Mytilus edulis: one gene and its partner. The protein of the gene in region 1 interacts with the protein of each later gene in a biochemical or structural test. Links are inferred from orthologs where the notes say so. Each region holds a gene or a part of one and is shown on either strand. Other genes may lie near its edges. The genes, in order: serine/threonine-protein kinase greatwall-like and cAMP-regulated phosphoprotein 19-like.

Region 1 (17,296 bases):
TGCGCTATCAACTGATCTAAAGTGCATGTTCTTTGAATGACAAAAACAAAGCTTTTAGGGTATGTCTTTAAATTAACAGTGTGAGAATTATTTTTTCTAGGTCTAGTTGTATCGGTTATAGAACATGAACACTTTAGAATGAAACTTCTCTACAAACAAAAGAAAAATATCGCTAATGACCTGAAGAAAGTTAAATCTGAAGCCAAAGTCCTAAAGGTACGTATATATATACATTGATATAAAATACATGTAATAGAGAGTCGAAGGATACAAAAGTGATAGTCAAATAGTTCATTTATTTCGTCGAGATTTGTTGAACTTCGTTTGCCAATCCGTCCCCCCCCCATCGGTCCCCCCATCGATGTCCATTATTGAATCGACTATGTTTTCTTTCTTTTTTGCCATGACAGTACATTCTATACATTTTATATATTAAACAATAAGTACCTGAGGGAAAAAAAGGAACAGTTCGTTATTCTTCCATTAAATATAAATTCTTCAATACTTCGGGATTAAATACGTGTTTTATACCTGGAAAGAAAACAGTCCTGACAACTAATTTTTTTTATCCATTAACAGGTTTCGCAAAAGTATTTTGTTTTCTTCAAATTAAGCTCAACTGTTTAACATAAATAGGCTTTTTAAAAGCTTTTCTTATTTTTAGCAATGTTTGGATATTGTACAGAAGATGGCGATAGACGGAGGAATTCCACAAGAGAAAATATCTCAACATTTAGGTACGTATTTAAGTGCATGTGGATTTGAAAGAAACAATCAGTTAAAAGATTTCAGTTAACAATAAAGAATATATATAATGATTTAAATATTTAAGGAATAAATAACAAATAAACAAAGCATCATTTATACCAATTTGTCATATTAAAAAAGTATCGGAAGATACCAAGGGAATATTCAAAACTCGTAATTTGAATGAAACTGACAACGCAATGACAAATAAAACGAAAAACGTCGTATAACACAAACAACTTCACAAAACACAGCATATATTAAACAAAGTCTGAACAATACGAACTCACTTAATCTTGGTGGGATATAAAGTGTTCCGGAATGCTGGATAAGTAGATTCTGCTCCAATAGGATACTCGGCGTCGTCTTACTCGTAGTAACTTCAGATTTGGTGTTGTTACGATCGGGAAATAGAGGGTGGAATTGTGGTTACGACCATTTGAACATACCATGGGCAAGGTCCGTAACGATCAGCCAGCTCGTGATGGAGTCCATTTAACTTTCAAAAGGATGGCTTTAACTTTTAGCGCTTGAAACCCTGATCAAATATTATATCCGTATAAGCAAAACATTTCTATCAAGGAAATCATTATAGAAAACTTAAGGGAGCCCCGGTCACAACAGATCGTACGATTTTTTTGTCGTGGAAGATCTATAAAAAAGTTGTCGTGGCAATGTCGTGCAAAATGTCAAACAATATTTCGAGTGGTCACATCAGCTACGACATGTCCATGATGGGTACACGACAGAGAAAAAAGAATTGCCAGGCTCCATCCTCATGAATCCAACGAAATCATCGACAGACTCCCGCTCCAACTCTAGCATCAGTGTATACTATTCTGCCTAAACATAAGGCGCCGTTCGATCCATGGACTAACCCACCATCGTCGGGCGTTTCACTGGTTCCTATAATGTTCACGGGCTCGAATTAACGCTAACAGGACCATATTTTGCTCTTGTTAGAGTCCGGCAAGGCGTCTATTTAGCAGGATCAACCGTAATCGTTCTGGTGGAATAGTCATCCTCTTTAAACGACAGACGGTATGTTTTCCCAAACATTCATTCCCGCCGAATTGTATTCTTCTGAATAAAACAAAAATATGTTGCACGACGAACGTACCACTGTCGTACGACAGACAATCAATGTTGTGCGAGTATCGTACGAAACTTGGATATGCGTGAGACAATCATGCGACCGTATCACGAGTGTCTTGCGACAGTCGTAGGATTGTCATCTTGCAACAGTTGTACGATTTTTCTTTATTAAAATGGTTAATGTTGGTACCCACGACAATGCGTTTATCGCATGACAGTCGCACGACAGTGGTAAGACACTACCACGACAACCACAAGACCGTGACACGATAAAAAATCGTAGAGCAAAAAAGTTGCATGTCCAATTTTCGTCCCACGACACACGACAGCGCCACGATGCTCACAATATCGTGCGACTGTCGTACGATGACCACAAATGACCAACGATTTGACCAATTTTCATGTCGTGGCGCTGCATAGATGTATTGTGGGACGGTGGGGTCGTTGTGACCAGGGCTTAAGCTCTAGAATGTCGTATCATATAGTAGGTATATACTCCGAATGCAGGCGCTGTTGGAATTTTGTAACATATAAATGGAAAGTTCACAATCAAAAAGCTAAAATCATCCCATTTGTCGACATACTTTTTTCTCAACCAACAATCATTGTCAATACCATATGTAAGTCAAAATATATGTCGTTATATGAGGAACTTTGAAGTACACCTACCAAATATATTATTTTGTAGTTTTTTTTACATTTTATGTAGCACGATGAACTGTATCGATTGTCTCGTGTTACGTATCATCTCAAATATTTGGAATTTCCAAATCGGTCTTTTATGCCGAATGGTTTACTTTTAAAAATTGTTATTTGGATGGAGAGTTGTCTCATTGGCACTCATACCACATCTTCCTATATCTGTTGTCTTATTAGAAAACATGCTGTGTGTGCATGTCTCAGTGGAAGAAATATTGAAGACAAGATTTTGCTTGCAGAATTTTTGTTGGAAGGAAAATCATTTTAACCTTAATAAATATGTACAGTATTACATCTAAGCATGTATTTTAAGGCTTTTTAAAAATCTTTGGAATATATGATTTGATCGTTGGTTTACCTGTTTGAATTGTTTAACACTAGTCATGTTGGGGCCCATTATAGTTTGTTGTTTGGTGTGAGCCAATACACTGTGTTGAAGGTCGTACTTTGACCTATGATTGTTAGCTTTTTATACATTGTGACTTATATGAAGAGTTGTCTTACCATATCTTCTTATTTATAAGAACAAATGTGTGGAATTTAATTCAATCATCATCTTCTTGTTGTTTGTTTTTCAGCTTTTCTTCAACAGAAACAGAACAAGAAAAGTAAATTATCAATGTCTCCATTCAGGAAATCGACGGAAGTACTACCCTTAGAGAATGGCACATTTAGTCCAACAGTATATAACTACGCAGATGAAGACAACAATACAATATCTAACGGCACAGACAACAATACAATATCTAACGGCACAGACAACAATACAATATCTAACGGCACAGACAACAATACAATATCTAACGGCACAGACAACAATGTGGTTTAGTCAACTACTGTTGTAGCGCGAGAATTGCATTCAAATAAAGCTATTTTTATAAAGAGTGTAAATATAATTGCATTCGAATAAGCCAGAAAAGATATTGTAAAAAGTGTCAAAAAAGTGCTGTTTTGCAAGTGCAATAGTTGATCATGAATTATAAATAAAATGTATTCAGTCCGAGGTAGCTTTTCAATGACAAAGAAGTCTCGAGAGAGAGAAAAAAAAACGAACTGTATAGGAAGTTGTTGCTAAGAAAAAAAATTTCTACTTAAGATATTATTTTACATGTAGATAAACTGCACAAGTAGTTAATCTTTTTTGTATAGCATAACCTAATTTTAAGGTTGAATTTATTCATTTTTTAACCATTTTTATATCATTTTCTGTATCATTTACATGTTGTATTGAGAACTATATTTATATTAAAAAACCTTTACAGCTTGTTTACACACAGTAATTCGCCTTTATACATAGCGCATTTCTTCAATTTACTGGTTCGTTTGTTGCAGAACTAATCAACATGAGCGTTCCCGGAAATGTTTAGTAGCTGGAATTAGGTCAAAATTATATGTCAACTAGTTCATAGTTAAAATCTGATAATGACGAATTTCACCATTATGTTGTTCTTCATTTCTGTCTATTATGTTGCAAACTGTAATAGATAGATAGAAACTTTAAAACCAAAAAATCTCTGCCATATAAGATCTACTCTCAATATCAGCATACCAATTATAAACCTGCAAATGTGCATGTCATTGTTCACTCACCATTGTCAAACTAGATGTATAAATAAAGGGTATGGATCTCATTTAAAAAAGTGTCTAACCCCGCCGCATTGTTGCGCCTGTCCCAAGTCGGGAGCCTCTGGCCTTTGTTAATCTTGTATATATATTTTTTAAATTTTTGTACATTTATATGTATGAGAGTTTAGTGTGACGTCCATTTTCGCTGAACTAGTACATATTTTTGTTCAGAGTCCAGTTTTCTTGTTGTGTAAAAGACCAATTGGTGGTTTTGGGCTGTTTTCTGTTCTTTGGTCGGGTTGTTGTCTTATTCCTCATTTCCATTCCCAGTTTCATGTATCATATGATCGACAGTGGCGTTCATTTTACAACAAGTTTAAAACGGTTTTGAATCATTCAAAAGACTATAGATTGGTTTTTTCTACCCCAGTCAAAGTTAGCATTAGACGTATTTGACCCAACTTTTTGAATTAACTTGATTTTCAAGTTTTGTCAACTTCGTTTTCTGTTTGGCTGGTTTGGAACTTTTTTTTATTCAAGCGACATTTATGTGGCTTACGAAACGCGCATTTAGCTAGGTTCACACTGCCGATCAGACCAACTCGATGATCCCGATTGTTCAAATTTCCACGACCAAGCGGAACCAAATTCTTGATTGGGCCTGTTAACGACTTCTTCCCGGCTAGCTAGACCAAATCAACTATACTCGATCTCAGCCTGATCTAGGCCAGACCAGATCGACATGATCGTATAGGGGTCGGAGGCCGGTCTATATCACCCGCTACAGCGGAGGGGGCATTAAGTGTTTCCCTTGTCCGTCCGTAAGTACTATACGTACGTCCAAACAATTAGTTTCCGTTCTCTAATTTTATTTTACTCAATCCAATTCTATGAAACGTTTGAACAATGCTTAATACCATAAAACACAGATCAAGTGAAACTGTTTCCATATATCTTTCACAAATTCAAATAAAAATCATTAGTCTTTCGTCTCATCTCTTTTTTTTTAAATGCGCCAAAAAGCATTTGAAAAAAGTGTTTGTAAACATTCGACCGTACGTTGACATAACGCCGGTAATTTCTGTGTCATTTGATCTACTGTGGAGAGTTGTCTCATTTTCAATTATACCACATCTTCGATTTTTTACTACAAAAATTTCCGGACAGTCAAACAAAAATCATCCCAGGTTTTATTTGGTTTCGTGTTACTAAGTTTTTAGTTTTCTATGTTGTATTATGTGGACTGTTGTTTGTCTTCTCGTCGGCTTTCGTTTTTCGCTATGGCTGTGTCGGTTTGTCTTCGACCTTTGAATTTGATTGTTCCTTTAGTATCTTTTGTCTCTCTTTTATAATTTTACACCTCCTTGCAAAAGTACAGACGCGAACTGTACATGGAGGAATTTGCGTATAGTTAAAAAATAAATAGAGACAATAATATAGTTTTGCAGAAGCAAAGTTACGGGAGTTAATCAGAGTTGCACACATATTTAGAGAGTGTTTGGCCGAGAAGAGACCGAAGAGTGGTCGAATGTGGTCGTGTAGAAATCGGGTATTGGTCGAGTTGGGATGTAAAAAACATAGAAGTCGCAAGTGATTATGAAGCGATCGGGTATTGGTCGAGTAAATCTGGACCACATATCGAACAGGTTGGCGTTGATCGAGAAATGATCGGAAATAAGTCGAGTATAGATCGAAATGATCGAGTACTGGTCGGTAAACTATTTGTATACCGAACAAACTCGATCTATACACGATCCTTTTCCGATTAATTCGACAACTACTCGACAAATTCTCGATCTCTTCTCGAAAGACTGGCTTCTCTATCCTTACTCGAATGTTTTTGACATGTCAAAAACTCTCGGGTAGAAAGTCATATCGATGACGACCAAGGTAGACAAGCCCGAACATTCATGTCGATTGAGTCAGACCAGTCTCCCGATCGCTTAATTTGTCTTGATCGGGATTGATCGAGTTGGTCCGATCGGCAGTGTGAACCTAGCTGTACCTACTTATGATATAAAGATAACATGTAGTATGATTGCCTATCAGAACACTCTCCACAAGATACCACAAGGCAGTTAAATTAACAACTATTATAGTTCCCCGTCAAAAATAAACAAAACTCATTCCGCATAGTCAGATCTAAATGGCCCCGAAATGACAATGTAAAACAATTCAACAATATATGTACAAAATAAAGACCGAAAAAATAAACATGACATACTGCAACAAACGACAACCATTGCACTACAGGCGCCTGGCTTGGGACAGACACATACCATACATAATGTGGCAGGATAAACTAGTTTGAAGGCGTCAGCCCTCTAAAACCTGTAACGGTGGCGTAACAGATAAACATAATGGTTTACTTTTATAACTTGTTATTTAGATGGAGAGTTGTCTCATTGACACTCATACCACATCTTCCTATATCTATAAGAACAAATTAAAAATCAGTTGAAAAGGCCTGTCATATCGTCGATCCTTTTTTAAACACTGGATCGATAACTGGTGGTGGACGTTTAGTTTCATCCTAAAGGTATCACCAGCCCGATCGTCAGCGCGTGTGTGTTGTGTTGACATGAAATATCACAGATATAGTTACGTTCATTTTCTGCAAATTCAATGCACTAAAATATTTGTATCCCCGGTCGAAGATAGCCTCAACTGTCCTTAACTTTTATTTAAGATTTTATTTGGTTTTCAATGTATATTAACTTCATATTCAATTTGGCTTACCAACTGTCGAAGGCAACTGGCAAGTCTGACGAAGACGAAATGCAGGTGGAACTAATCATAACCCTGGTATCTGCGATCATCTTTTACATGCTTTTAAAAGGATAATTTATTTCTAAAGTTGAAATCAATTAGATCGTGTTTCGTAAACATATAGTGAATAGGTACATTCTGGGTTTTTTTCTCGGACTGTTTGTTACGTCTTTTCATTAAATTCATCGAATGTTAGATGTAAACTGATAGATCTAGGATGCATAATTTTTTGTTGGTTTTAAGCTATAGCTGTTAGTAACTGCTAGTACTCTCAGATCTGTGTTTATATAGTGTCTTTCAGTTGTGTGAATGTATGACCCGTCCACGCCATCTCTGTGTTTTTGTTAGTGTATTTGCCTTGCTCATTGTTGAAGGCCGTACGGTTCCCTATATTTCTTAATTTCTGTGTCATTTTGATCTCTCGTGGAAAATTGTCTCATTTGCAATCGTACCACATCTTATTTTTTATATATTTAAGTTTGTCCAAATATTTAGATCCATACAACCAGTGGTAGCAGTTCTTATGCTAAAGCCTTATTTAGTGTATCGGATATACACGAAGATCTTTATAAGGTTGGATTTTAAGTGGAAACTTATTGATCCTCCAATAATTTATATCAATGTCGATTTTATTACGACAAAGATCTTGATTTTGGAATGAAATAAGTTTCCACGTAATTATAAACCTTGTTTATAAGATCTTTTTGTCTATATAGTATATACCAATGCAAAGTACTTTCTTAAATTAAAGAGGACTATTTTTTCTTCTGATGGTTTTCTTTTCGATGTACTTCTTTTTTGTCATGGTATTGTCAGATTTTTTTTAAATTTATGATTGTGTATAGAATCAAATTTCTACACCCTAATGTCTTATAACAGAATTCGATTATTTTCAGCGGATTTTATTTTTCATATGTAACTGACTTTGACCATACTAGAGGATCATATACTGTTTATCCTTCAGTGAATACTTACACATAGAAATCCCAAGTAACTGACTTTGACCATGCTAGAGGAGCATATACTGTTTATCCTTCAGTGAATACTTACATTTAGTGATTGTACAGAGTATCCCACTAGTCTTTATTTTTTGTGCAGTGTTTTGGGGATTATGTTTATTGTTTATTGTTTGTGTTTGTGTTTTTATTCTATTATCATGTCATTTTCTATCATCTGTTGACAAATGATTTCTGTTTAAATTATTATTCAGGTAAGTAACCGAAACTGATTCTTACTGTTAATAAATTTTTAAACAGTGAAGCTTTGTTTGGAAAAGATCTACAAGTCAGAATATGCTTCTCTGAGGTCTTTTTTCTTTTGAAACGGCTAATGCTCAACAGACTGTTTCTAGATATTATGTGAAAGTTGACTTGTTTTACAGTGATTTATAGGAAACGGAAAATGGGAAAAGTTATTGACTCTCTTACAAGACGGAATCAAGACTCAAACTCAAATCAACTTTTTTCTTTTAATCGTAGGATTATATCATAAGCCAAAGGACATGATTATATGATTCGGGGTACTGGCTAGGCGCATAAAAGTATCCCACTAGGATAGACAAATTTTTTAAATATAATACAGAACTGCCGCGTGTTCAATAGAGGCTTTTCATTTAACAGATGTCTATTTTATAGGGTTAGACTTTAAACTTTAAACATAATCAAAATATTGTGAAATATTAAAAAATTAAAAGACTTGAATTGATTCAGTGTGTCCGATAATTTATTTCATTTTTTTAGAACGTCAAACAAGGTTAATTCTTAAATACGAAGCGAAAAAATGCCGAGACTAGCGCTCATGTGTCAATCATTTAATTTTGAGGTCATGATATTTATTTCTTTTAAATACAAGTCATATATTTTTGTTCGTCCTACGAAAAAATATTCCAGCAACTTTTATGTTTAAAATGAAATATTTTTATGAAATTTTATTACTAACAGTAATTAAGACTCAATTGATTTTTATAGCCATATTATCATTTTTTTTGCACAGAAACACTTATGTGTCTTTAATTAAATAAGTGTTTTTTTTCTAAAGTATGAATCATTTATGACCCCCCTTTTTTTTATACATTTCATTAACTAAAGAGACATTTCGATATATATATATATATATATATATATATATATATATATGATTAGAAAAATTCATTCGCTTCAGACAGACAAGAAATAGTTTGGACGGAATTTGATTTAAAAATGTGTTATTATATGAAATATTAGCAAAAGTTTGAAATGGTGAACTCTTTTGATTCGACTCGGAATGTCTTTTATTTTTTTAATTTATATATTTTTGTAACTAATTTTCTAATTCAAAAACAATCTTCAAGGGATATAAATTTATTAATCCAGTAACCAAATTATGTTCTATGATATCAAGCCTGTCCCTACAAATGTAATTTAGGGATTGAGTCGTTAATAACCCTATAGTAATTAATTTACTTAATATCCCAAAACTTATTGATATTACCCGAAAACTCTAATTTATAACAAAAATCATTTCACTCCAATTAATTGAAAATCAAATTCAATATGAGTGATATTAACGTATGTATCAAAATAACAGTCTTTTATCAAGATATAATCTGTATGAAAGGACTATAAACCCCATATCATATATAAATTGAGTTTTCGCGTAAAATTTAGAGGGCTGCAAATGATTACCTCCCTTGACATTGCTTTTTAGTACAGGAGATTTGATTGGTTCTTGGCGCTTTAATGCAAATATGAAAAATGTAAACAAGACACAATTTTGTGAATGAGGGAAATTGGAAAAGAATTAACAGGACAAACATGGAACAAGTCAAAGACTTTATTGTAAAGGTGAAAATTTATGTCATTGTACAAAAACTAAGATTGCAGCTGTCTCGAGACGGAAGGTGATCTATCCACACTAGGTCACAGCCACAGGCACATGTGTCTCGGGCTCTTTGGGGCATTGAGTGACACCCCAGGGGCGGATCCAGCCATTTAAAAAGGGGGGGTTTCCCAACCAAGGATAAAGGGGGGGTTCCAACTATATGTTCCCTTTCAAATGCATTGAGCGACAAAAAAAGGGGGGTTTCAACCTCCCAGACCCCCCATGACCCCCCCCCCCCCCCTGGATCCGCCAATGCACCCCCTGTAGACATGATAGAAGTTGCTGGAATTTCCAGTCATCATTTATAACCTCAAGCCCTATGAAATAAAAGAGATAACTATATTTAATTTTAGTTTTGTTAGAGAAATAAGTGGAAATATTACAAGCAAATCGGGTAAACAGGATGTAACCGTAGTCCAAATAATTATGATGTCTTGGAAGGCTATTTCAAATTTTTGCTTTGATGCCTTCCTGAGTATAATTGAAATATAATTGACCTAGATACACAGTGTACAGTGGTCGTTTTCAAACAAATATAATTGCGTAAAGACCTGTATAAATGACCAAAAAACTTTCGAGACGTTCCAAGAATTTTATTCTGGCTTCCAGCAGAGAGATATCCAGAGGCCCATAGACACATCCAAAACTCGCCAATATATACGCATGAAACCCCTCAGGGGGTTCATGCAAAATTTTTAAATTTTTTTTTTATTTTTCTACTGAAATACATGTAGGGGACTTCGTCCCCATATAATAAAAAGGTTTTTATAACTTAAAAATGATATATAAAAAGCAGGTAAGTTGAAAGTTCACAAAGATTGTTTTAAATATAGTATTTCCATCCAACATGGCGACCAAGGATAACATGGATAACGCATACATGTATACCATGTGACATGGTCGCCGTCTTGGATGTTCACACTTATTGACACTATATTTATAACGATCTTTATAATACAAATACATTTTGTACTCCAAAAAAACAAAACAAAACCACTGACCATGCTGACCATGTTCCAAAAGCATTGATAGGAAAAGCTAAGAAAATTTAATGTACATACATGTAAGTATTCATGTTAATATGAAATGTTTTTCAGCCTCCAGATATAGAAGATTTTGATTTCATAAAGCCTATCAGTAGAGGAGCATTTGGGTAAGTAACTGTAAGTTACATGTAAAAATAAGAGCATGAAGAAAATGTATTATTGTCAATAAGACAACTCTCCATCAGAGACCAAATGAAGTAGAAGTCAATAACTGAAGGATATTGTACAGCCTTCAACAATGAGCAAAACTCGAACTGCATAATATACTATAAAAATCCAATAAATGACAATTGTAAAACAATTTGATTGAAAAAACTAAAGGCCTGATTGATGTACAAAAAAAAAAACCAAAAATGAGGGGAAAAAAAAGTATTATATACAGCAACAAACAGAACATAATAAGAAAAACTATGCAAATCAGTTGAAAAGTGCTTAACTCATCAGATCTATACACCATGTACACCATGTACATGATGTACACAGAACATAAAAACCCTTAAAAAAACCCTCAAAAAACACATGCTCAAATAAACAAAGATTCAGCGCTCTAATTTAAAGCCAGGAAGTAGGCATATGATCTGTTAAATTTAATATTCACATTCTTTGTTAGGCTCACAAAGTTTTACAAATAAGGGTTAGGTAGTTTTTGAAATGTGTGTATTTTATGTTTAAATTCAAACAATCAGTTACAAGTTGTCCACTACAAAATAGGTATAAGTCCCCTACCAAGGAATTTGAAGGGGACTTTAGTTTTGCACTATGTTTGGTCTGTCTGTCTTAAATATATTGATTTGATATTTGGTATATTGTTTGATCATGACAAGTTACAGATCAAATTTCAAATTCAGTTACATATCATGCGCTCATGGCACAGCTGTTTGATTTAGTACAGAGAGTGTGTAAGGTCTATCCAAAATTATTGAAATACCTTGAATGCTTTTTATGTTTTATTTTGTACATGAATTGTATTTCATCACTATTTCAGGAAAGTTTTCTTAGGATGTAAAAAGATTGACAGAAATAAGATCTATGCCATTAAAGTTATGAAAAAGGCAAACATGGTACAGAAAAATCTAGGGGATCAAGGTAAGTTTCATTAAGACAAAGTTTATATTCAACATAAAAATAGAAAATGTGGCATGATTGCCAATGAGTGGTTTCTCTTTCAGAGACGAACTGATGTAGAAGTAAGCAATAGAAAAAAGACCAATGAGACAACTCTCCATCCAAGTCACATTATATATGTAACCAATTATAGGACAAAGCCTTTAATCACACCGAACAACAAAGCTATAATGGGCTCCGAAATAACTAGTGCATGTAGTGTAAAACAATTCAAACAGGAAAACTAATAGTCTAATCTATATAAAAAATGAGAAATCATCATGAACCACATCAACAAACGACAAAAATTAAACAACATGCTTTTATCAGTATGGGGACTTACTGAAATAAGTGATTTTTAAATCACTTATTTGAGAAGCAAATTCGAGGTTTTGTCACAAATTGGGATTTTGTAGTTTTTTCAAAATTTTAAACACATATGGTCTAAATAACATCTTTTAATTAGTAAAATTAAAAAACATGAACTTTTTGCTTCTTTTAAGTAGCAAGGTTTATGCCTTTGATGCTATCATTTACCTGAAAATTCTATTTTAGTTCAAAAAATGCTATAATTATGGCTGTACATAATGAACTGATACTTTCTTAAAAGATTTTTCACAGCAGTGGGAGTATTTTTCCTGTGAAGTTCAAGGTTTCATCTTTCAGATTATGTAATAAAATTCTACTGTTCGCGATAAAAATTTCACTGTTCGGGGGTGTTGAAATTAATGGGGGTTATTAAAAGAAGTGATTTTTGGGAAGGAAATTGAGGTCTGATACTTAAACAAGTGATTTTTATGTCATTATCCTAGATTCAGTACAAGGTCATTACCTGAAATGACCTGGTCATCCTAGACAACACAGATGTTGGTTCTGATAAGTTTAGAAACATAATTAGTCCCTGGATCATTAGTATTCTATATTTAAAGCTACACTAATATTAAATCACTTCTTCTAGTGATTAATTTGTACTACTTAAATAGGTGATTATTAAAGAAAGACAACTCTAATTCCAACCTTTATGGAAATAATGTTACTTGAATCAGTGATTTAGAAAATCACTTGTTCAAGTAAGTCCCCTGACTGATTTTTTTGTTTATAGATAACCATACAGCCTCCAATAAGGAGCATGAACCAGACCACATAAGCAGTGTAGAATTGAGCAAAAATAGTGGAAAAGGCTTAACAGAAATCATGGCATATTTTTCAGAAAAAAATACAATATCTGACCACTGGGTCAGACATACATGTTCATACACCTGCAGTTGGACATTCCCAAATCATATTTTTCATATTACAAAACAGATTCAACATAGTGGTTTTGGTACATCACATTTAATGAATAACTAAATTTGATTATTGGTACTTATACAACAATATTAATATATGATATTTGTTTTAATTCCTGCTCTGTTAGTGATGCCTGACATCTTATTCTTGTGAAAATTGTTTTTTGTCTTCTGAATGTATTTTTTTTTCCATTTTAGTTTTGGCAGAAAGAGATGCAATGGCCCAGGCCACCAGTCCGTTTATTGTACACTTGTTTTACTCATTACAGTCAAAACAGAATATCTATTTGGTAGGCTTATCATATTATACATATATTTCCAATATTTAAAAGTATAAATATAAAAAAAAATCAGCTTCTCATACAATGTATGTTATACATATATTATTTTCGGACACAAAAAGAAAATCCATGTAAATGAAGGAAGATGTGGTGTGATTGGCAATGGGGCAACTCTTCACAAGAGACCAAATGACACAGAAATTCACAACTATAGGGGACCATCCAGCCTTCAATAATGAGCAAAGCCCATACCACATAGTCAGCTATAGAAGGCTCATCAATTGAAAAAAAAAGCAGTGGATGTCCTAGGCACAGGAAACATAAAGATGTCCACAAACATCAGAAAACTTTGAAACATTTTTAGTATTTTTTTTGTAGGATGTTAGCAGATTTACTATTTTTCGGATCTTTGGAACAATATTACATTTGTCAAAAATAAAGTTAATTATTTATGGGTTGAGTAATTTATTTGAAAAAAGTATAAAAACGTGATTGCTGTTGGTTTGGATTATCCTCTCATTTCTGTTATATATATTTTATTTTCTCTAATTCTATGGAAAGGGATAAGGGCCGATTTTGACCTCAAATTTCAGATGTATCTAACGAAAGATTTCGGACACTTTTTAAACACTTGAGTGTCTAATTCAGTTGATTCAATTAATTTATGTGAAAAATTTTAACTGATTTAGCCATTAAAAACGCTCTGATTCAAGCTTAAATATGAAAAATCTATCAAATATGCCAAAATATGTCACTTTTTAGATGGTTTTTGTCAAAAATGAAAGTGGCCGCATCCGTGTTCATCCTCAACCTTTATATATGTTATGTATTATCATCAAATCCCACTTTCATTTCAATATTAAAAATGAACACAAATGCGACCAATTTAATTTAAGACGGAAACTGTCTGAAATTTAACTAAAAGGCTAAAATTGTGAAGATTTCAGTAATTTAGCATGACTTAATGATGCTAGTACCCGATATATGTGCATTGTATTGTCAAAAAACAGCCCATATTTATGTAGCAGAAGCATTCTACTTTCCAATAAATAACTAAAAGTTTACATTTTAACAATTTTGAAAAATGCTATATTTTGGGGCCAAAAAGGGTTTTGCTGGACCTACTCCTTCATCCCTAATAAAACTCATTGTATTTAAAAGTTTAATCAAGGTGTGGTTACCGGTGATCTCATAAGATGATTGGATATATTTAAGAGTCATAACCTTTACCAACACACTGGATGTATCAAAATATGCTAACAGGTGTTAACGAAATTGACAACTTTGTGGAAAGTGGAAGGCAATTTTGGTTTAGCAAAAAGAAAAATTTATGTTTTAATCATTACAGAAACAGATACTCACATAGTTACTCATGGATTATTTGATTTATCCAATCTCGATAGTTAAATTATAAATTTTAAAGTCCTCGCCGAGGCCTTTAACTTTAAAATTGATAATTTAACCATCTCGATTGAATAAATCCAATAATCCACTGATATCAATGTAAAAATCTATTTGTAACCTATTTTCAGGTGATGGAATATTTGATAGGTGGAGATGTTAAAAGTTTACTAGGAATCTATGGATTTTTTGACGAGGATATGGCCATGTTGTTAGCAGCTGAAGTAACATTGGCCTTAGAATATCTTAATTCCAGAGGCATTATACATAGGTAGGTTTAAATGACAGGAAACTGTGTGCTGTATTCCTTCCAAGAATTAGCTAATTGGTAACATATAAAGGCCTATTAAATTAGCTTTGACATTTAATTCATTGTATGGAATAAATAAAAAGAGTTGTCCAAAAGCAATTATTTATAGGGAGATAACGATAGACAAGTTTTCCCCACCTTTACACACACTCACTCACACACAATCACATAGTAACAAGCTTATATAGTACCAATACTCAAATCTCAGTTCAAAGTAGAAATGGAAGTATAAAATAATTGATTACTTTAAATAACCAGTAGATCTATAATTTATACAAAATTTTCAGACCCTCACTGGTACTGGTTATAAAAATAAGGAGATATGGTGTGATTGCTAATGAGTCAACTATCCATCAAATTAAATGAAGTGGATGTAAGCAGTTATAAGCTACTGAAAGACCTTCAACAATGAGAAAAACCTGCACTGTATGGTTGGCTATAAAAGACCCCTACATGAAAAATATGAAACAAGTAAATTGAGAGATCTAACAGCCTAATTTGTAACAAAACAATTTACAAAAAACAAACATGACAGACATTAACCAAAGACAACCACTGAACTATAGGCTCTTGACAGACATGACCCAGACGACCACTGAACTATAGGCTCTTGACAGACATGACCCAGACAACCACTGAACTATAGGCTCTTGACAGAGATGACCCAGACAACCACTGAACTATAGGCTCTTGACAGACATGACCCAGACAACCATTGAACTATAGGCTCTTGACAGACATGACCCAGACAACCACTGAACTAGAGGCTCTTGACAGACATGACCCAGACAACCACTGAACTATAGGCTCTTGACAGACATGACCCAGACAACCACTGAACTATAGGCTCTTGACAGACATGACCCAGACAACCACTGAACTATAGGCTCTTGACAGACATGTCCCAGACAACCACTGAACTATAGGCTCTTGACAGACATGACCCAGACAACCACTGAATTATAGGCTCTTGACAGACATGACCCAGACAACCACTGAATTATAGGCTCTTGACAGACATGACCCAGACAACCACTGAACTATAGGCTCTTGACAGACATGTCCCAGACAACCACTGAACTATAGGCTCTTGACAGACATGACCCAGACAACCACTGAATTATAGGCTCTTGACAGACATGACCCAGACAACCACTGAACTATAGGCTCTTGACAGACATGTCCCAGACAACCACTGAACTATAGGCTCTTGACAGACATGTCCCAGACAACCACTGAACTATAGGCTCTTGACAGACATGACCCAGACAACCACTGAATTATAGGCTCTTGACGTGGGACCTGTTTCCTTTTAGTATATTGCATGATATAAACATTACACAATTGAATGTAGAAATATTCCAAGGGTTTGTTGATGTTATTTTAACTTTAACAAGTCTTCTGAAGAAAATTCACATTCTGTATTTGCCTGTCTCAAGTCAGGAGTCTGTAATTCAGTGGTTGTTGTTTGCTGCTGTGTAACATATTTGTTTTTCTTTCATTGTTAACATTTTGTACATAAATCTGGCCCTTAGTTCTCGTGTTTGAATTGTTTTACAATTGTCATTTCAGGGTGTTTTATAGCTGACTTAGCAGTATGTTTTGTTTGCAATGTTGAAAAACATACAGTGGCCTTTAGTTGTTATTTTCTATGTCATTTGGTCTCTGGTAGAGAGTTTCTCATTTGCAATCATACAACAAATTTTAATTTTTATAGATAGATAAATTATATGTCTATATTCTTTATTATAGACTAAGTTCTCTAGCTTAATTCTAACATTATTATATGTGTTGTTCTAAACAGTTTTTAACTTGATGTTGCACTGAAAATATATTGCTTTCAAAGAAAACTGAAAGAAGCCCCTCTCCTGTATTAATTATTTCATTTACAGAAAATTCATAGTTTTCATGATGTTTGAAATAATCGAAAAAATATTTTTATTTTACTTACTTACATTCTAGAGATTTAAAACCAGACAATATGTTGATTGACAGGAAAGGTCACATAAAGCTGACAGATTTTGGATTGTCAAAAGTTAACCTTGATGTTGGTAAGTTGAAGGTCATAACTAGGTGATAGTCATTTAAAGAATAATTTTGAATGTTAAAGGTAAACAACAGATGACAAAA
Region 2 (17,199 bases), on another chromosome or scaffold:
GTAAAACAGGTTATCTAGCTTAACTGTAAACATGCCATGATTCTTATTCTGTTATTTTTATTTTGTATTTAAAATATTCATCATTATAATACGTCTTCTCAATGAAAATAAAAAACAAGTTTATTCACATAAATTGATTGATTGATTGAATTTAACGTCATATTTTAACATGAACTCTACATAGTACTTGACCAACATGCTAAGCTGGATTGCAAGATTTGGAAATAACAGTCATATCTTATCGAATTAATACTACAGTTATTTTTATAGAGAATGATATATCTTATTGTTTTTTCGACGTAACCATAACTCTATTACACAGGCACTTGTCTCTGAAAAAAAATTACCTATATACCTTAATATAACAAGGTATATAGGTAATTTTTTTTCAGAGACAAGTGCCTGTGCTCTATTATAAAGAAATTATGAGTATGTGTAAGTTAAACCTTTTCTATGTTACTCCAGATAAAAGCAAACGATGTCTTATAACTTGGCGTTGTGTTTGTTAACTTCAAACTGGTGGATTACAATCTATCCTTTTAATTCAACACAGCACAATGTGTAATTACTTAAGATTCTTGCGGTGTTTGTGTCATTTGGTACAGTTTATATTCCCCCAATCTTTTAAGTTGTATGTAACTAGTTTTAATTCTTGTGTTTGTATAAGTTATCAAATAAATATGTAAGAAAGATATTCAGAATGAAGAAGTTCTTGGGACATAAATTCTGTACCAACTAAGTACAAAGATATGTATGATTGATATTGTTCAGAACAGAGTATACAACAATAACCTCCCATTAAAGTCTTCTTTATTCTCAAGTCTTGGTGTTTTTTTGCTACAATATTAAGAAAAACGATACCACACACGTTCCTGGTATTTTATTTACTGTGCCGTGCAGATTCTTGTACATTCAGTGGTAAATTCCGCTCGGATATTATCAACTTTTTTTTATACCACTTCAAGTAGAGCTGTCAGGCGTATTACTTAGAGGGGTTCTGATAGAATAGATTTAATATGGAAACGGGGAATGTTTTAAAGAGACAACCCGACCTAGGAAATTTCTTATGAAAGCGTTTTTTTTTAATTTCTTGATGCTGTGAACATTAATAATTTTGTGCCTGTACATCTGATAATTTCATAGGATTTCGTTGAACGAAATATTGGTCCTTATAACGATTCATAAAAGCATTGGTTGTTATTATACGTTTTGGGGGTAATATCGTGCTCTATTGTAACGAATGGACAACTACTAAACCTCAAACGGAAGTTTATTAGATCAAAGGTTATGGTTTTTTTCATGTTGATTTGAATATCGTCAGTATATGGTGTACTGATTTTGCAGGTTGGGGAAATGTTAGAACTCCTCCTGACCTTGTTCATTCAATTACCCTCTATAAAGTGCGCTAGTGGATTACTCTCACACAGCTTCCTTACCTATAGAAGAATAACTATGCTAGTGGAGTACTTTGACTTAATAGATATAGGAAGATGTGGTGTGGGTGCCAATGAGACAACTCTCCGTCCAAATAACAATTTATTAAGTAGCTTTCTCTAAGCTATAAGATATAACCGGCCTTCATTAACTGTACTGGTAGAACTTTTTTTAGCGACGTCGATATACTGGTGGCTTATTGTGCCAGTGTTCTATGTATCGACAACAGACTAGAACATCAGACATTTTAAATTAGACGGATCCCTATGCTGTGTTGTAATAGTCTTATAGACTGCTCTATAGTAGGACTTTTTTTAGCGACGTCGATATACCGGTGGCTTAGTGTTCCAGTGTTCTATGTATCGACAACAGACTAGAACATCAGACATTTTAAATTAGACGGATCCCTATGCTGTGTTGTAATAGTCTTATAGACTGCTCTATAGTAGGACTTTTTTTAGCGACGTCGATATACCGGTGGCTTAGTGTTCCAGTGTTCTATGTATCGACAACAGACTAGAACATCAGACATTTTAAATTAGACGGATCCCTATGCTGTGTTGTAATAGTCTTATAGACTGCTCTATCGTAGGACTTTTTTTAGCGACGTCGATATACCGGTGGCTTAGTGTTCCAGTGTTCTATGTATCGACAACAGACTAGAACATCAGACATTTTAAATTAGACGGATCCCTATGCTGTGTTGTAATAGTCTTATAGACTGCTCTATAGTAGGACTTTTTTTTAGCGCGACGTCGATATACCGGTGGCTTAGTGTTCCAGTGTTCTATGTATCGACAACAGACTAGAACATCAGACATTTAGACGGATCCCTATGCTGTGTTGTAATAGTCTTATATAACTGATACATAACAGTCAGAGGTTATTTAACTCGTATGATTGCTACTATATTTTAACGATTCTCTCCAGATCCAAGACGTCTGTCTGACTTCAGAGGATGATAAAATTTCTTCTTGGTCAATAAGTTGTGATATTATCTATCAATAATGATTATAATTGAAAATAATGAATGCTCTGAAGTTAGCTATAATTAGATCTTCACGGAAAAGTTTTGAATACATTACTTAGACAGAGATTAATATCAGCTAATAAAAGTATCTTCTGTTGCCGACCGAAGCCATAAACAAGATTATAAATACTACAATAAAGAACCATATTAGAGTTTTACATTAGGAACATTAATGCTGCTATTTGTCTTATTGAAATTACATCCCACAGGATATAACAATTTTCTTTTCGCTCTTTTGTATGATGAGCTTTCATAAAACTATATCAATATCATCAATATTTTCCCTGATAAATAATAAATCTATGATCGGTATATATATCAATATCATCAATATGTTCCCTCACCATTAATAAATCTATGGGTGGTATCTATTAGAGAGAGACATTCTTTGATAACTAAAAAGTTTAATGTTGGTGTTCATAACAATTTCAAAAACTATACTTCAACTTTACCACTAGAAACTCTTGATTCACTTCAACTTTACCGCTAGAAACTTGATTCACTTCAACTTTACCGCTATAAACTCTTGATTCACTTCAACTTTACCGCTATAAACTCTTGATTCACTTCAACTTTACCGCGAGAAACTCTTGATTCACTTCAACTTTACCGCTAGAAACTTTTGATTCACTTCAACTTTACCGCTAGAAACTCTTGATTCACTTAAACTTTACCGCTTAAAACTTGATTCACTTCAACTTTACCGCTATAAACTCTTGATTCACTTCAACTTTACCGCTATAAACTCTTGATTCACTTCAACTTTACCGCGAGAAACTTTTGATTCACTTCAACTTTACCGCTAGAAACTCTTGATTCACTTCAACTTTACCGCTAGAAACTCTTGATTCACTTCAACTTTACCGCTAGAAACTCTTGATTCAGTTTCATCCGTCTAGATAGCAACTAGTTGCAAGAAATTATATGGGATGTGCCTTTTGCAAGGATACGGATATATGGCACGCCGTTTTTATATTTATTCAAATTTGAAGATATCTTATTTATTTAACAAGATATCTTATTAAGTATTAGATATCTTTAATTTTTATAAGATATCTTATTTAATTTGAAAGTAAATAAGATATCTCTATTAGTTTATAAGATATCTCTATTAGTTTATAAGATATCTCTATTTGTTTATTAGATATCTCTATAAGTTAATAAGATATCTCTATTAATTAATAAGATATCTTATAAAGTATATAAGATATCTTACTTCTTTATAAAGATATCTTTTAAATACATACTTTATAAGATATCTTATTAATTAATAGAGATATCTTATAAACTAATAGAGATATCTTATTAACTTATGGAGATATCTTATATATTAAATAAGATATCTTTATAATCAATTAAATAAGATATCTCTATAAGTTAATAAGATATATCTAAAAGTTTATAAGATATCTCTATTAGTTTATAAGATATCTCTATAAGTTAATAAGATATCTCTATAAGTTAATAAGATCTCTCTAAAAGTTTATAAGATATCTCTATTAGTTTATAAGATATCTCTATAAGTTAATAAGATATCTCTATTAATTAATAAGATATCTTATAAATTATATAAGATATCTTACTTCTTTATAAAGATATCTTTTAAATACATACTTTATAAGATATCTTATTAATTAATAGAGATATCTTATAAACTAATAGAGATATCTTATTAATTAATAGAGATATCTTATAATCTACTAGAGATATCTTATTAACTTATGGAGATATCTTATTAAGTAAATAAGATATCTCTATTATTAACTATATAAAAGATATCTTATATAGTTAATAAGATATCTTATACATTAATAGAGTTATCTTATATTTTAAATAAGATATCTTATATATTTAATAAGATATCTTTATAAACATTTTAATAAGATATCTTATTTAATATAGAAGATATCTTATTTAATAAATCAGATATCTCAATTAATATATAAGATATCTCATTTTGTTATTAAGATATCTCAATTAGTTTATAAGATATCTTATTTAACTAAATAAGATATCTGGAAATTGAATAAATATAATAACGGTGTGCCATACGGGTACACAATTCCTATATGAGACCCATGACCGAAACAGTGTAAGCTGCCAAGCTCAGATATCAAAATATTAAAGAACGATTTCTACAGCATATAAAATGAAATATATAGACTTCCTGATTCTGTTGTTGCCCACAATGCTATTGTTTGTTTCTGTTGTTCTCTCCTATGTCCTTCAACGGAAATCAAGAAATGACAAACACACCAGACTTTGTATCTTATTAGATTAGAGAATGACAAACACACCAGACTCTGTATCTTATAAGATTAGAGAATGGCAAACACACCAGACTTTGTATCTTATTAGGTTAGAGAATGACAAACACACCAGACTTTGTATCTTATAAGATTAGAGAATGACAAACACACCAGACTTTGTATCTTATTAGGTTAGAGAATGACAAACACACCAGACTTTGTATATTATTAGATTAGAGAATGACAAACACACCAGACTTTGTATCTTATAAGGTTAGAGAATGACAAACACACCAGACTTTGTATCTTGTAAGATTAGAGAATGACAAACACACCAGACTTTGTATCTTATTAGGTTAGAAAATGACAAACACACCAGACTTTGTATCTTATTAGGTTAGAGAATGACAAACACACCAGACTTTCTATCTTATAAGGTTAGAGAATGACAAACACACCAGACTTTGTATCTCATTAGGTTAGAGAATGACAAACACACCAGACTTTGTATCTCATTAGGTTAGAGAATGACAAACACATCAGACTTTGTATCTTATTATGTTAGAGAATGACAAACACACCAGAATTTGTATCTTATTAGGTTAGAGAATGGCAAACACACCAGACTTTGTACCTTATAAAGTAATGTAAATTGAAAGGCAACTTTTGTTTTAGCTTTACTCAATACACTGAGGGATGCCATGAAGCAATCAATAATCGATCATACACTGAATAACCGAAAAACCAGCTAGTATTCGAATAATTTTTCTATTCTCACGCCCTACAACTATATTAAAATGTCTTTGTTTTTTGTTCCCACATCATAGCGAGATAACTTGTTTTTATCCGACGCCTAAGTTTGAGACATTCAAGACTTGAAAATGGCCTTTCAAGTTCATAACATAGAAATGTTACTGGCAATATATAAGGAGTTAACATCTTAATAGAAGCAATGAAAACATTATGCTTTATGCTTTATTTGTTAAATCAGTCGATCATGACTGTTAGACACCAGTCATAGCATTTCACCTTTAAAGAACAATATAAAAGCGAGGTGGGAGATACCAATGGAATAGCCAAACCCATCAGTCGAAAACGAACATACTGTAATGGCAAACATACGAAAAACATCCGAAAGACAAATAACAGTCTACAATACCCAACAACGACTGAGCAACACGAACCCCAGCTAACATCCGAAAGACAAATAACAGTCTGCAATACCCAACAACGACTGAACAACACGAACCCCAGCAAAAGTGGAATATATAAAATAAGAATTTCAATAACAAAATTGTTTCATTGAAAATTGAAACTTAAAACGTATTACTAATTCGTTTTTCTGATTAGCTGGATGGTGTTCGGGCATAAAAATATAAAAAAAGAAGATGTGGTATGATTGTCAATGAGACAACTCTTCATAAGATACTAAATAACACAGACATAAACAACTATATGGGTCACCGTACGACCTTCAACAATGGGCAAAGCCCATACCGCATAGTCAGCTATAACAGATCTCGGAATGACAAATGTAAAGCAAGTCAATCGAGAAAAAATACCTGCCTAATTAAATAATGTAAAAACACAAATGTATGATTACAAATAATTATGTATAATAACACAACATAACGACAACCACTGAAGCAGACCTATTTGGTTTTTCTTTCGATTTCAAACGGTCAACGGAGTAAATTTTATACTACGTACAATAATGTACAAAAAAGTAACATTCCAATAGTAAACTACTTACTTTCCATGATTCTCTACTACAGATCAAACTAAAACACCCAGTCATGCACTATAAAGTTATTGCACTGATATTGGAATAAATGATCGAGGACACATCGCGAAAGCAAATTTGCAGAAGTACTAATATTGTTGGGCTGAATTGGAGATGAGTTATATGTATATATATATGGTGAGGGTCCTCAAGTTGGTTACTTATTCCTTATTCCTTATTCGTTACTTATTCCTTATTCGTTACTTATTCCTTATTCCTTATTTGTTACCTATTCGTTACTTTTTCCTTTTTCCTTATTCGTTATATTACCTATTCGTTACTTATTTCGTGCTTTACTTTCTTTAATATTTATCTATGGTAATTGATTTGTAGAGGTGAAATTACACTTTGAGCGCGAATGTACTCGTTTTTGCGCTCGACTGATACCCTGTTACTTATTGGTTAAAAACGTGTGTTACGTTGTACCTTTAAAGAAAATTCTTTTCAATTTTTGTCTTGTCTCTGTTCTTAGAGCTATGGTAACTATATTTTAGCAAATGATGATATATATAGAAGAAGCGCGACAACTCTATTTAAACTTGACACTAATACAATGGGCCATTCCAGTTAATTTCTGACAGGTGGGGATGGATGGGGAGAATTTTTTTTCATACCTATCAGAAAAAAACATCATGAAAATCTACCTATCAGATCTATAAATTAAGACCTATCAGATGTAGAGTTTCAGTTCATATTAGGGGATGGGCTTTCATGGGAAAAATTGACCTATCAGAATATTTTACTGCAAGGATTGTACCCATCAGAATTTTAAATACAATACCAGATAATGCATGATACGAAACTGTCTGCATTCCAAACACCCCTAAGATCTGAAATAGGTAATTTTTGAAACCCCTAAGATGTAATTATTTTTAATTATTTACTGCTACAAGACCCTCAGAAATTTTTGCGTATAAGTGTACGTGTCAGATGAAAAAAACACCAAATTTCAACCCTAAGATGTATAAATTTTACACCCCTCAGAAAGGACCATCCATCCCCTTTAGCAGATATTAACTGGAATGGTCCAATGTAGTATTCAGGGCTGCAATATAAATTTCTGTAAGATTAACATATTTATCAATTATAGTTTGATATGGGCGTTAATCTTAAAACTCACATTTGTGTACTATTTCTACCTTAACTGATCAACAGTTAATACACCAAGATAGTGTCAGTGGGGGTTCATTGAGAGATATATTTTACTGACTATAAGGTCACTTTGTTTCGAAATATCATTGACTTTCAGGTAGAAATAAGGAACATACGCATTTGAAGATGATTTATGTCAGAACTTTCTATATATAGTTGTGTAGCAACATTCGGTCAATAACTGCACATGTGGTGTATATTTAAGTTCCAAGCTGATAATATTTCCTGAACCAGCGTTTCCTCATCGAGTTGTTTTGAAAGGCTCATGAGTCATTACACTTGTAAGGATAAAATGTTATTCACCAATGAGAACAATTATTTGACTGCTTCGGATGGTCATACGGATTAAAAACGTTGTACAGTGAATTCTGTATTCTTTAATTCAGTATATAACAATTCGCCGTCATGTAATGAAAGGTTGAAACGAATCCATGGAATCAGTAATCAATGATTTTCTTTTGTAATTTCGGACTTTATCTGTTTCAATAAACACAACACATATGTGAAAGCAACAAAAAAGCGGGATCCTCATAACGGTCATTTACCAGAATTTTAAACAGATTTTCTTTCTTCAGGTTTGAGACCCAAATAATGATAATGCAAATATAAGGTGAAAGTCCGAGTCAGCCTTTTCCCGACATATTTTAATAAAAATCAAATATCTCGAAAAGGAGTTCCATGACATATCAATATTTTTAGCTTATTTTTATCCATGTATATCTAATGCTCTTCCGGATGTAAAGTATCAATTTTAAATTCTTAATGTATTTTTTAACATTTCACTTTCAGTCTCGTTGAAATCTCGTTCTGGAATTATTTCCAAAACATGTGATACAAGTGGAAAATATCAATAAATTTTAAAAATGTTAACGTGACTGTACCCAAATTGCACCTATTTTGACAGTTTTTTCATCTACGTTTTTTTTATGATAAAGACAAAAATGTCTGTGTTTATTTCGTAGCCGTATCCTTCTTTATTATAAAGGTACACCAATTTGATTTTTATTCCATATGGAATCATAGAAAAATTGGTCTAAACTGACCTCCAAACCATCAATTATTCTGAAATGAGGAGTACCCAAATTGCATTCATGCTTTAATTCACATCGTCAAAAGTCTAATAACAGAGCTTTTGTTTAATTTCAACAAATATTTTAAACAATTGGATATTACTCTTCATTTTTTTTAAATGGGTACTTGCAACATACATTGCATTTGCTCATTTTAAACAGATGACCGCGTTTTGGTGACGTCGCATGGCGACGTTTCAGTACATTTTGCTTTTTCAGTAAACACTTCATCTGTTGATAAATACGGTGAACGTTTTGTGCATATCTAAATAGTTTTAACTATGTTGAAAGATGTGCTATAAGTATCAAATCATAAAAATACAAATTGTAAGATTTTCGCGGCTAGTTTTGCTAAATAGGTGCAATTTGGTACCGTTACGTTATAATCAAACATAACTCTGTGCAAAAAAATTGTGTATTTACAATGAAAAGTTTTTCAATAATACAGTTTTCGAATTTTAAGACCAAACAAGTCAGTCTTTTTAGCCAAAATTTTGTGAAAATAAGTGAGGGGTACAAAAAAATGATTTTATAAGAATCATGTTGTTTTTCAAATTTCTTAGATATGTATTTTTTCAATCATATTTAACCCCAAAAAAATGAAATACAGCATCAAAATCAATCTAATTAAAAACCGATCTCTCATCGCTCCTGTTTCTGATATGTCGCGTAATCTAATTAAAAACCGATCTCTCATTGCTCCTGTTTCTGATATGTCGCAATTATTTTTTTACAGTCTTTTAAACCCAAAAATCAGGTTAAGAAAAAAAGCTTAATTCTAGAAATATTTTGCTCCTTAGAGGTGTAACCCTAGTATTGCCACTTTTTTACATCTTTATGATCATACAATTAAACCCATACTATTTATTATATGGCAGTGAAATATGGGGAATGTTTAGAACGGATTCAGCTGCTTGTAAAAAAGATAATGATTATATATTAGAAAAAGTCTTTGGTCAGGATTCTTCTGAAAAAGCTCATACCAAATTTATGAAATATATTCTTGGTGTAAACAGAAAGTCAAGTAATATAGCTGTAATGTCAGAGCTTGGTAGATTTCCTATGTATTTTACTATAATTTTATCAATGTTAAAATATTGTCATAGACTGGAGCATTTGAAAGAAGGATTATTATTTGATGCATTTATATGTTGTAAACAGTTACATAGCTCTAATGTAAATACATGGTGTTCTAGTATAGATTATATTCAGAGATAGATTGAATTACCAAATTTTGACCAATCATGCAATTGGTTCTTTATGTCAGTATGTTAAAAATAAACTATGTAAAAGTTATTTCACATTTTGCAATAAACTTAAGTATCAAACAATTAACTCCGAAAAAGGAAAGCTTGGTACTTATTTTTTTATAAAAAAATTGTTTTAAAAAAGAAAAATATTTAGAATTGCAGGACTTCAAAAAAAGACAGTCAATTTGTAAATTAAGAATAAGTGCTCACTCTAAAAACTGAGACAGACAGATATTCAAAAAAGCATTTAGAAAGATCTGAGCGTCTTTGTTCTAATTGCTTACTTGGTAAAGTTGAAGATGAGCTTCATTTTTTTTATTAGAATGCCCTCTTTATGATATTCAAAGGGACGATTTTTTTCAAGACATTTCTAACAATTGTTATAATTTTATAAATTTAAATAAATCTTCTAAATTTGTATGGCTCTTGACCCAAGAAAATGTTACTCTTATGGAAAAACTGGGCTGTTATATATGTGACTGTTTTGAATTAATGAGATCAGGTATGAACACTGACACTAAGTCAAGTAAATAATTTGAGAATAAATACATGTACATGTATAATGTAATTTTATTATTCTTTTATTCACAATATATATATGTGTTTTTTAGCTTGATTCTGACCAATGCTTATATTCCAAATATATATGTATATGCCTCTATTATTGTTGTTGTTACCAATTATGTAATGTTATCTGATTTTATGCCCTTTAAGGGCCCTGCAATTTGGGAAATAAAAAAAATATTCTGTACATCCTTAAGTACATCCATAAAGTATTGTGTGCTTTGTCTTGTAGCGATAATTGAATTGTAATTATGCTGCATTTATAAGTGCACTTTAAAAATGTTAAAATTTTAGATTAGTTCCTTTCTACTCGTGATGTCTTTTAGGTTTTGGGCTAAACCACATACTAAAAGAGGATAATTAAATCTTTGCTGTTGATTGGTTGATATTACAATACCGTGTGAGCGCCTCCATCTCCAATTGTAAAATTAGTGAGAGCCTTTCAAAACAAGATAAACATGTCATCGGAAGGAACAATAGATCGAAAAGAGCCAGAATTTGTTGCACCTGAACCCACAACAATGACGATAAAGGTTAAACATTAACATTTGTTTCGTTCTATGAGTAGTTTCGGTGCAAAAAGAGATCTTTTTTTCATCATTTTTGTTTTGTTTTATTTTTCATTTCTTAATGAATAATTTTCATGTTAGAGTTATTTCTTTCCACACAAGCTATGAGGTTTAAAGAGTAAGTAAGTAATATTTTAGGTTGAGGTTATTCTGATCATCATTTTGTAGTGTATCAACAATTTTTTTTCAAGTCAATATTGTGGATTATTTGGAAAAGGTTTTACATCACTGCTTAACATTGTACATTTTCTGAGCACAGCTGTTTTGTGCTGTATTGCCATTAAGGAGGAAAATACATGGAGGAAAATACATGGAGGAAGATACACATAGGGCGTAATATGCACCAATGAGAAGAGTTGTGCCATAAGGCCATAAGATTGAGGATTGAGGATTAAGCACAGCAGAGGTAGAAAGGTGAAAATTGTAAAGAGTGTCAGACCATAGAAACAGAATGATGCAGGACACCTTTCAAAACATGCTGCCTATAAAGCTTAACTGTGCCAAGCAATGATTTAAAAACTTGTGTGACAAGCTGCTTGACAAGTTTGTCAGTTCTTGTATGAACGGTGATTTCAACGAATAAACACAATGTGTGATTAATATCTTTTTTAAAACATGCCCTTTTCATATTATCATATCACGTGTTAAATGCCCTTTTTTCAGGATTGACACCCTGCCCTTTTGAAATCCTAGCTGGAACACTGACCATTGTCATGATTGTAGGAAAAAGTTGGGCTTCCAAATTTCAATGTTGTAAATGTATACATATCTGTATGTGTTTATTTGTTCTAGCACTATTATCATAATTATTACCATGATTACTAGTTTTATCATGCAATGAAACTTGTTTTTTACACTTAAGTTCATTCATGTTATATATTTCACTCACTTGATTATTGTGCCACAAGATAAATATATGTGATTATGAATACCTGCTATAAATTCATGATAGAATGGGGTGCTCATTTTCGCCGGGGACACAATTTCGCCGTTTAAGGATTTTGAGGTGTAAAAACTTCAAAGGATGGCTGAAATGGAAGAAATGTACCCGTAAAATTATATTTTTATAACAAATATAATATTTTTTTAAACTGAAACAAAATTGCGGCTCCTACCGAAAATGACCGAAAAACGGACAACGATTTTCGGACAATTTCCTGAATAAAAAACACGATTTCAAAGAAGTATTTCTAAGAAAATATTTGACTGAATGCCCTAATTTTGAATTCATTATACCTTTGAAATGTCTGCTATTCATCTATAATGCAATTGATTTGATAAAAATTTGTGGTTATTTGGTTTTAAATAGATGTGTAAAAACGGCGAATATGTGTCCCCCATTGACAAAACATCCGGAAATTTCAAACACCCTTTAATCTAACTTTTCAGATGATTTTCTTAAAACAAACCGGTTTTCAAGCTTAAGCCACACCAATTTAATTTCTTGTTCTACGGATTTTTGGACTCCAAAAATTGGGGCGAGCGAGCGATTTGAAAATTTAAATAAAAAAATATTTAATTTGCAAATTCTTGAGGCGAAGCTTAAAAAGTAAAGGCATGAAAGGCGAGCGATTCTAATTTTTTTTTGTAAACATAAAAAAGTATGTTTTGACTATATTAAAACTTAATTTATCACTTGTACCTTGACATTTCTTTAATTTATGGTATGAAGTATTTTTCCCTGTTCAACAAGAAATAATTGAATAATTAAATCTGGTCTATATGTATGTGTGACTGACAATGAGACAATTCTCCATCCAAGTCATAATCAGGTACAGAACAACCCCTTAATCTGTTAATGTTATGAATATCCCTTTTATGAGGGGTTAATATAAGTTGTAATAAAAAAAAAATTGTAAAAAGCCTTTTAGTACAAAAGGGCTAATATTTTCTCAAAAAACTATAATATCTATATGGTATTTAATGGTCAAAACATGTCCAAGAAATTTGTAATATTCCTGGACTTTAACCATGTTAACACATTTACTTTAACAGTTTAATATTATTCAAAATAAGTGAACACCTCTTTTAGAAAAGTAGTGTAATTTAAATATAATGTATTTCTCCTCTTTTTGAGTAAAAAAAGTTTTCAAAGGTTTTGTATAGTAGCACTATACAAATCCTTAGTATTTCTTTTTTCTTTTCTACAACACTCAACAGTAAACATGGAAAAATGACCCCTTCAACATGTTCAAGGCCCTTGTCTGAGGAATAACCTGATAATAACAAACATAGGTCAAAGTACGGCCTTTTACACAGAGATTTGATCCAGACCAAACAGCAAGCTATAAGGGACCACAACTTAGAATTGTACACAATTCGAACAGGAAAACCAACGATCTAATTTATATTTCCAAACGGGAAAATACCAATGAACCACATTAACAAACGATAACTGCTGAACGACAGGTCCCTAATCAATCAGGACAGGTGTACAAACCTGCAGCGGGTATGACCGTCAGAATACATTATAATTGCAGTTGAAGGCAAATCCTTCAGAAATTCTTTGTACATGTATTTTATTTTAACAACGAACTTTTTTGATAGGGAACATAAGTCAGGGGGAAAGAAACCAATGTTTTGTTCTGTACAGGTATTTCCGGTGTTATATATTTATATCGTGGCACTCCCACTTTGAACAAATTTGTTTCATGCTGAAACAAATATTCTCACAGATATTTACAGTGTTGTGGGTTGCTTATAGGTTTTAAATCGTTATATAAAGAATATACTGTGATTTTAAAAACAAATGTTGAGATCTTTTTCTAATATTTACAAAAAAACGGTGCGGGAAATGGACATGATTACATTTCCGGATGCAGGAAGAGGGAATATAATAAAAATTTTAAAAAATCTGTTTTGAAAAAAATAAGTGCGGGTGGGTCCGTTGAACAAGGAATTAAATTGGTGTGGCCTTAAGTATATTTTGCATTTTAAGTTATCTTCAATGTTCATATAGAAATATCAGTATACTTCAAAAACATTTAGACCTGAACATAAACTGTAGAAAACATGGAAAGATGTGGCGAAAATTAGCACCCCACTCTAAAGAAAAAAATATTAAAAGATCAAACAGTTTTACTAATTTTTAATATTATCCATTTATTGTAAAACTAGATCATCTCTTAGTATATGAGACCATATGAGTATTTGGACCATATACGTATACTCGTACGGTCGGACCGTATGAGTATACGCGTATGGTCCAGTACGAGCTAACCATACATGTCATCATATGGGTTAAATTTAAACAAACATTTATCACAATCTTTTTTTTTTTAGTTTTACAAATTGTTATTATTACAATTAGATGGATTAAATGAACAAACGAACTATTGAAATTAAATAGTTTTTTAATTGTATATCTGAATCCTATATATTTTGGGACTCTCACCCAAGGTGACGCTTGCTTCCACAAGTAACGTAAATTTTTTACATTTAAATGTTTGCAGTTTATGCATTTTACATTTTTTGATAAAGTTGCTAAATATTCGAAAACAGTTGTTCTCTTACATTATGTTTACTTCCGATATATCTTCAATTTCAGTGATCTTATTCAATTCATGTTAACTATTACTGATCGACATACTTTATACAAGAGATTAACAGATTTAAAAAGCATGAATCTGTTAAATAGTTAAAATATAAAGTTTTTTTTTCAATTACAGTTGCACTTTTTTATAACAATTTGAGAGTTACGTTATGTTGATTTGTTATATGCATTTGTATTTAATAAACTTCACCAACTTCTTAATATTAGTCAGACCGTATGAGTATTTTGAAAAAGTACGCATACGGTGCAAATACTCATACGGTCTGGAACACATATAAAAAAATAAGATGTAGTATGCATATGACAATGTATGATTGCAAATGAGACAACTCTTCACAAGAGACAAGTGCCACACGTACAGAAATAAACAGCTATAGGTCAATGCTCAGCATACAAAAATGAGCAAAGCCCATACTGCATAATGAACAGTCAGCTATAAAAGGCCTTGAAATGACAAATGCAAAACAATTCAAACAAGAAAACTAACTTTACCTGACTTTTACATTTACTTGCATTAACATGATTAAGTGAGGACTTCCATTTTCTTGACCATCACATTTAATCTCTTCGAAATCAGCTTATAATTACATATCAAACAGAGAAACATGATTAACTAACATATAAAGTATTTAATTTTGATAGGAGAAAATGATGATGGAAGAAGCCAAATTAAAAGCTAAATATCCCAATGTGAAACCAGGTGGACCATCAGGACTATTGGCCAAGAGATTACAGAGAGGGGTAAGTAGAAATACCGGTATTCAAACTAAGATGGACTGTAAGGACTATTGCCAAAAATTATACAAAGAAACTGTAGCATTGATCAAGAACAACTCTAATTAAATTGCATAGTGCTGTACAAAACAAGATGGATAAGACATTCCTTACAAAGACTGAAAGAGATGGGCAAAAACTTGAGTGTGAAAAAAGTAGATATCCCTACCAACGAAGACAAAGAGGACTTAAGGTTTGCACTCTTGTCTATCTGCCTGTCTTTAATCATGCAAAATTATAACTAATCTGCTATAGAAAATGATGGATACATGTATGTATGTATATATATTTAATAAGATTATTTTAATTCTTTTTTAGCAAAAGTATTTTGATTCCGGAGATTACAATATGGCCAAAGCTAAGATGAACAACCCAAAGACCCCTTTGGCGCCCACAGAAAAGATGATATTACAGGAATCAATTGGAGATGCTATCCCGACACCAGAATCCTTACCTCCTAGAAAACCCTCCATCATACAGAGTAGATTAGCAGAAGGAGAATTGTCATAGATGTTACATTCATCCAGAGTCATAGAAATCAGGGATGCCACAATATTGGTAGATTTAAGTGATTGACAGTAAGGACACACAAAGTGTATTGTCTGTCTGCTTCCACTGTATGCTTGCCAAGTTGTTCAAGAGCATCACATTTCTTTAAGGTCCATATACAGTATTTCAAGTGTAAAACAAAAATTATAAACACATGTTCAATTATTTTTTGAGAAGTAAAATGAATTTTCATGGTATATAAACATGTACATTTTTGATCAATTTAAGTTATTCATTTTCAGAGAAATAGTATGTCAATGATCATGATAGATGGTTTAAATAAGGAAAAAAAGTGGTGTCAGGCCTGTACAAAAGTATGATTGGTCCACAGTTCTTTAAATTTTCTAATCAGAAACTGGTTTCTTGATTGCCATTACTTTTGGATTCTTTTACTGAGTCATATTCTGGCTTGAGTTTAACAATAATTTATTATTTTATATGAATACTATGAGAACATTTAAGAGAGTAAATAATTACTGTTATTTTTAATCTTGAAACTTCAGGCTGGTAGATTCAATGTAGGAAAAAGTTGTTAGTTGAAGAGTAAATTTGTAAAATGAAACCAAGATAACAGGATACAATTTGAAAAAAAAATGAATTAAGAAGGCACAGGTTCTTAACATTTGTTTAGGTTAAGAAGACAAAAAATATATATTTGAATGCTACACATACATGTACCACTACCATATTTAATTGAGAACTGATTGAATGAAATGAAATGTAATTGAAACTGTAACTGAACAAGTTAATTTATCTACCATCATTGTGTTCCTGTTTCCATGGTAACTAGCCAATTTGAGAATTTACCAATGCTTTGTTCATGTTACCATGGTAACAGAACAAGTTAGAAAATCTGCCATTTGTTTTTTTCATGTTACCAAGGTAGCTGAACAAATTGAGAGAATCTGCCATTGTTTTGTTCATGTGACCATGGTAACAGAACAAGTTAGAAAAGACCATCATTGTAGTGATGTTGTTTCTCTGACATTGACTAATAATTGACAGAATAGTGCAATATTTATTGAAGATAAAATTGTCCCCAAATTATGATATTGTAACTAACAATAACATCTAATTAAAATCGAGATATGAAATGGGTGAATGTTGAAGTGCACAAAAGTATTTCATATTTTTATAAAAAAAAATGATTGTTTTTGCTGTTACATGTAGTTTTGCTTTAAATTAATAAGCTTTTGAATCTGAGGCTCGCAGTCAATTATAT

What was found.
Region 2: of the proteins of serine/threonine-protein kinase greatwall-like (region 1) and cAMP-regulated phosphoprotein 19-like, one has a biochemical effect on the other in vitro, tested with the Drosophila melanogaster proteins (2 studies listed by BioGRID). The link is inferred for Mytilus edulis from reciprocal best matches to the Drosophila melanogaster genes gwl and endos.

The regions. Positions count from the first base shown.
Region 1 is NC_092350.1:35,707,825-35,725,120, reverse strand, and holds the start of serine/threonine-protein kinase greatwall-like, read left to right. Parts: upstream 1-9,568; 5' UTR 9,569-9,668; coding exon 9,669-9,698; intron 9,699-10,832; coding exon 10,833-10,888; intron 10,889-11,766; coding exon 11,767-11,867; intron 11,868-13,372; coding exon 13,373-13,464; intron 13,465-14,987; coding exon 14,988-15,127; intron 15,128-17,128; coding exon 17,129-17,217; intron 17,218-17,296. Other genes in the region: uncharacterized protein, read left to right, coding at 101-216, 665-737, 3,120-3,370.
Region 2 is NC_092347.1:89,975,990-89,993,188, reverse strand, and holds the start of cAMP-regulated phosphoprotein 19-like, read left to right. Parts: upstream 1-10,903; 5' UTR 10,904-10,990; coding exon 10,991-11,065; intron 11,066-15,296; coding exon 15,297-15,395; intron 15,396-15,746; coding exon 15,747-15,938; 3' UTR 15,939-17,199.